Linked DNA regions of Yarrowia lipolytica. The protein of the gene in region 2 interacts with the protein of the main gene of each other region in a pairwise test. Links are inferred from orthologs where the notes say so. Each region holds a gene or a part of one and is shown on either strand. Other genes may lie near its edges.

Evidence for each region. The genes of interacting proteins can lie anywhere in the genome.
Region 1: the proteins of YALI1_E39676g (region 2) and YALI1_E32396g interact in a two-hybrid assay, tested with the Schizosaccharomyces pombe proteins (2 studies listed by BioGRID). The link is inferred for Yarrowia lipolytica from reciprocal best matches to the Schizosaccharomyces pombe genes get3 and pth2.

Annotation. Positions count from the first base shown.
Region 1 is NC_090774.1:3,238,287-3,241,223, reverse strand, and holds YALI1_E32396g (uncharacterized protein), read left to right. Parts: upstream 1-1,630; coding exon 1,631-2,293; downstream 2,294-2,937. Other genes in the region: YALI1_E32411g (uncharacterized protein), read right to left, coding at 1-124; YALI1_E32361g (uncharacterized protein), read right to left, coding at 2,408-2,937.
Region 2 is NC_090774.1:3,966,028-3,969,254, forward strand, and holds YALI1_E39676g (uncharacterized protein), read right to left. Parts: upstream 1,582-3,227; coding exon 598-1,581; downstream 1-597. UniProt on the Schizosaccharomyces pombe protein: ATPase required for the post-translational delivery of tail-anchored (TA) proteins to the endoplasmic reticulum. Recognizes and selectively binds the transmembrane domain of TA proteins in the cytosol.

The DNA of each region.
Region 1 (2,937 bases), about 730 kb from region 2:
TAGCCCACGAGTGACCAGACCACCAGTAGAAAGATCGATGAATAGGAAAGCTCTTACCCTGAGGACTGGGGTTAGCGTAGTCTATCACCAGATTATCGACCCACTGTCTCTCTGAGTGAGCCATTTCCCGTCTCCCAGCTCTCTATCAACTTTGGCGATATAGCAGCGGCATGAACAAAATAACCATAGTGGATATGAAGGTCATTGTAGTAAGTTACCGAAATCAGCGGGGGAGTCCGTACCAAGGCCCGCAGTAGAGACAATGCCCTTCCAGAGGGTGTTGTAAGCAAGTGGATTCTGCTGTCTGTGATTGACGAACACAGTAAATGCGTTCTTCAATCGACCAAGAAGGTCGCGAGCACATGCCTTATCACCAACGACATCGTTCAGAACCACCAGAATCTGAGTAAATCTGTCTAGACCCTTTCTGGAGAAGTACATGGAATCAAGATTGGTCCGAGTGCGGCTTCTCTTGGTTGGCAACATCGGCGATAATCTGCGAACGCGAACATTGGCATCATCGAGGGAGACTTGTAGTTGGGTAGAACTGCCTTTGGGAGATAGCCCACATCTTGAGGCAACGACGGCTCGACCATTGTGAATTTGTCGGTGATGAACCCACGCATCTGGCCCTTGGCAGAAGAATCATGGGTCGCCATGGTCCAAGTAGAGTAGACAGCAGGCAGTCTGTCATGCTCTGGATCTGATGTTCGAGTACAAACATCGATGGTTTGTCCCTTTCGCTAGAGCCGGCATGTTTGAAGTTAATGCTTTAAGATCCACGAAGGCCATCCTGAACAATGTCATCAGTGGCAGAAGTTCCCACAGCATAACTTCCAGCCCAATGCATACGGGAGCTGTAACAAATGACGGCAGCTTGACGAGGTGTGCTCATCGGGGAAACATGCCCAAGGGGTCTGCAGTCGAGATGGATGCGAACAGGTTTCCGTTCACCCATGGCGCGTGGCGTTTTTCCAACTCGTTTGTATCCTGCCCATGCGCTAGTGCACTAACCAACCCAAGAAAGGCCCTGAGAGAATCTCATCTGACTAGCAGAAAGATTTGTTAGTGAGTGTTTCCTTGGAGATCTGTTTTGGCACGTGGACAAACATATGAATGAGGCTCTTGATGGGTTTACACATGGCTTGCTATCAGTAGTATCCAATCAGGGATCTCTTTACTGTAGTGTATCTCCATTGCTCATAATAGGCAACATAAAAAGCTGTCTACAGTATGAGCGCAAACCGTATACGAGAGTGCATCGCTTAAGTTCAACGAGCCATGTCAGACCCAACACATCCAATCCTGGTCATTGGAGTACATCAGTGCTGGGTGGTTGTTAACAGGAAGAGTACTGTACATACATGTAACTGTGCCTTGTGCTGGAGATGTCCCGAACTCTAACGGTGCTAACCATAGAGCAAACGAGGTGATGTTGATATTCAGATACAGTACGAGTACACAGTTCGGTTGTATATCAAAATGGCACATAATTTTTCCTTCCATTATACAATGCAAGTAAGTTGTCATCGTTGAACTTGTTTATCGCAGCTACAAGTACAAGTAGTGTACCGACGCTTGTATCGGTACAGAGTGCAGTGCGTGCACTCATCTTCCGTCACTTTATGTCATGCATGACCCAAATCAAACTTCGTTGCATCGAAATTTCAATCAACTTCAACACACCATTACAATGTTGACTCTTCCCGCGACCCTGTCTACACAAACAATCAACTACCTCGTGGCATCCGGTCTGGTCGGCGCAGGTGTCATTCTTGGACGATACGTCATTCCTCGAGCCACCACTCCTGCTCCCCGAAAGCTAGCTGCACGAAGACTATCTTCATCTTCGATATCCTCTTCCGAGGCCGACTCGTCCGAGGATGAGTTCACAGAGGAAGACATCAAGCAGCTGCAGGCTCACGAGGACAAAGCCCGTGGAGAATTGAAAATGGTGCTGGTGGTGAGAACTGATCTCAAGATGACTAAGGGCAAGATCGCAGCCCAGTGTGCACATGCAGCTCTGGCATGCTACAGACAGTCCTCCGATCTCAAGCCTAAAACCACCCGATCATGGGTCCGATGGGGCCAGGCCAAGGTGGCCCTCCAGGTCAAGTCTGAGGCCGAGCTGTTCGAGCTCAAGCGACAAGCTCTCGAGCGAGGTATCATCGCCTGTGTGATCCGAGACGCTGGCCGAACCCAGATTGCTGCAGGAAGTGCCACTGTTCTAGGTGTCGGCCCTGCTCCCAAGTCTGAGATTGACCGAGTCACTGGTCATCTAAAGTTGCTGTAAGCGACTGAAGTGCTGGGCATATAGACAGCAACTGAACAACGAAACTCATAGATTAATGCATGATTTACTATATACAAATGCTCCCTTATCATCCTTTACCAAACTCCTCTACACCTAAACACACAGGACCAGCTCTCCAGTGTATTTATTAGCGCGCACAACTCCCATGCTGACAAGCCGATCTCCTCGCTCAAGCTGAAGATCTCCAACCTCAACCTCAACCTCCATGTCCAAATCAATGCAATAAGCCCGCGCTCGTGTAGACAGCTTGGTGATAGGATCTCGCTTATAGGTAAGAGCAGGTCGAGTCACAACACACTTGTATGCAAAGTTATTCTGCGTTTCGATCCACAGAATCTTCCAGTATCGTTCAACCAGTTGAGCTGCCCGGTCAGTCAACCGTTGTCGAGGTCGCAGGTACTGTAAGTAGACACTTCGAAGCTGTCCAGCAGAGAGAGGTTGAGGCAGCTCCAGAATCATTCGAGGGGTCTCCTCCTCCAGAACGTCACACACATCGTCCTGGATATCATGCCATCTGTCTGAAAGAGGTGTGTATTCCTCCTTTCCAGCAGGCGCAAGCCAGTCTACTTTGGGTGTTCCTCGAAGAGTTGCTAAGTTCACCACGTCTTCTCCATGTCTTCTCG
Region 2 (3,227 bases):
GAATTCTCTACCACTCTATATGACACACTCCGATCTCACCTCGGCTCATTCACATTCACACCCTGCATGAATCTGAACTCTGAAGTGTCTATTAATGGAGCAAAGGGGTGTGTGTACAAGTAGGGGATTAGTAAATGTGATATTTGGGGATTTGACAAGTAGTATACGAATCTGAACGCTTCGTGAGTGGTTCGGGTATGTCTCCGGCTTCTCTGGCTCGTTTTCATCCGATTTCAGACAGTGATATGTTGTGTTCAAGATATCCCACCAACCCCACCAAAATTCTATTCTGCACGTTAAACGACATGGGCATTGAATACTCGTTAAATTCACGCCGGAAATAACATGAGGTTCTTTTATGTGCAACGCCACAAAAACCCGATCGACGACAGTCACGTGACCATCCTCCGTATACACACGCCTCCACCTCCACCACCCCCCTTGTAACAGTACATACGCGTACTTGTACTCTTAATCCACGTGACACACCTCAGAGGTTACAATGCAAGCCCAATCTGTAAATCTTTATTAATCTACCACTACTTACAGTAATTACACCACCAGTGGAACTATGACATTCCCTCAATTCCTCACGCTCTAGTTCTCGATATGCTGGTAAGGGTGAACAAGCAGGTTGCTGAACTTCTCAAGGGCCTGGACTCCTCGAACCTCCTGGGTCTGCTGAGGAAGTCGCACAATGTGGAAGTCCTCGTACAGATCGAGAATCTGCTCCAGGTACTTCTGCTGCATCTTGTATCGAGAGGAGCAGAGCTCGCAGTCGTCTCCCTTCTTGGGGTACAGCAGCTGGTTGACGACAATGTTGTGGGTGTCAATGTCAAAAGAGGTCAGGTCCTGGACCATTCGCTCTGTCTCGTACAGAGACAGGAACTCGGGAATGCAAACACACACAAAGGTGGTGAGGTCGGGGTTCTTGAACTGGGTGTTGACCTCAGAGATGGTGGCTCGGGTCTCGTTGAGCTTTGCGAACATGTCGTCAGCAGAGGGACCCCCCTGGCCTCCCATCAGAGAGCCAAGCATGGGGCCAAATCGGCCGGAAAGCTCGGAGATCTTGCCCAGAGCCTTCTCCAGAACGGTGGGGAAGGTCAGGAATCGCAGAGTGTGGCCGGTGGGAGCAGTATCGAAGATGATGACGGAGTAGGATGTGCTCTTGACCTGCTTGAGGACCTCGGCAAAGGACATGGCCTCGTCAACACCGGGGATAGAGAAGGCAATGTCCTGCATCATGTTAGTCATGCCGGCTCCAGCGCCTCCTGCGCTCTGGGCCTGCTCGATCATCTCCTGAATGGACCCACTGGGGTCAATCTCCATGCAGTGCAGGTTGTCGATACCATTCACAGGTCGGGCGTCCTTGCCGAACTTCTGGCCAAAGGCGTCAGAAAGGTTGTGTGCGGGATCAGTGGAGATGAGCAGAACGGACTCTCGGTTCTTGGCCAGCTGGATGGCAAGGGAACAGGAGGTGGTGGTCTTACCAACACCTCCCTTACCACCGACAAAGATCCATCGGAGAGAGTCCTGGTCAATGATGTTCTGGAGAGAGGGGGCGGGGGAGTCTTCGTCCATTGTGTGTTTTTTTAGATACTTGGACTAGGGGTTGTTGAAGTACAAGTAGTTGGGGGGCAACAAGATCTAAAACTATCACGTCCCAGACAGACAGGCTCGCTGTATGTCAAGGGTTAGGGTAATATGCTTTCAGACACGAGTTTCGAATGTGATCGTACATGATGGAAGTGTGCTATTCAGAGCCTCAGAGCCGAAGAGAGTTTCTATCGAAGCACAGACAGCTGTTAACTGAAATCGGGTAATAAGGAGTCGAAAATAGTGTGTTTGAAATGTTGAATTTCTGACATCTGGGGTAAATAACAATAATAACAACCGGAAATACTGTTGACTAATGACGGTAAGTTTTTTGGAGAAATTGTTTCCGAGGGGATAACGTCCGTTTGAGGGATATTTTCGGATCTCCTACAAGTACTTGGTCCAGTTGTGCAGTGCTCATTTAAAATACGAACAAAATTACTGCCGTTATCTCCGCTGCAGTATGTACTCGTAGTAACGCTATAAAAAACTTATAGCAACGTACTGTAGTGTGAAAATAGCAGGGGGACAGGTCAATTGCTCCCCCCCCGTAGAATATGTAGCTAATGCCACCGTCTACTTGTGGCTAAAAGATCGTTGGGTGTAGTTTGTCGTCAACTGGTCCCCCCGCATCTTTCCGAAATTCTATCCTCAAAGCTATCTTGCATGTACGTGTCATCTGTCCACGGGTGATCATAGTTCTCTTCTAACGAGTCTGTCTCAAAATCACGTATTACTCTCTTCGCACTATAGCAAACCTCGGAATAGCAACTACAGGATGGGATACAGATTTCACCGTAGAAGAGTCCCAAAAACCCGACGATACTCCACCTAACCGCCCCCCCTTACAGCCTGGACGAGTTTTAATATTCCCTTTTAGCTGTAGCCAAGCCTCTGGTTGGGGCATAGACTGCATAGTTCCGAACTTCTCCGCATCACGTGACCAGAAACTCCCACATCTCAACTTACATATCTTACATTGTCCTTACTGGTCGGGCCAAAGAGAACACCGCTGCGCTTCCATGCTGCGTGCCGTTACATCCCATGATACAAAGCCGTGCTGCAATACACTTGTACAAGATAATCCTTCGCCGCACAATTGCATTGCACAACTGTGGGGTAGCACCTGGTAACACAATCCACACCGTGGGCGTTATCTTTCCCATCGCACACGCGTTGGTACTCTTCCTAAACCACCTGAAATACACAAAGCTGGCCAATGGCTATCTCCGCAACTTGCTCTATAGTATAGTTATGGGCGCAACCTTGTTACCATGTTTGAAGGAGACACACTGCCATTGCATAACAGGGAGTGAAGCAAAGTCGGCGGAAACCGTCGGAATATCGCCAAGTGGGGCTCGGGAGAAGGCTAGAGGGGTCAGTTAGACAGCTATGCCCTCACAGCGCTCAACGGGTCTGGTCCGGAAAATTCTGCAGAGTTATCCCGGGTGCTGGCCGCTGGAAAAATAGAGTTTCACAAGAAACTGTAAAACTGGGGCCGGTTCTTCCGGTTTATATAAATATTTGACGCTCTCCACAACTTACCCCATAACGAGTTAACGTGAGTAGTACAATGGGTGTACTTACGGTCGAAACGATACCTGCGGAGACGGCCAATTACGACATTTGTG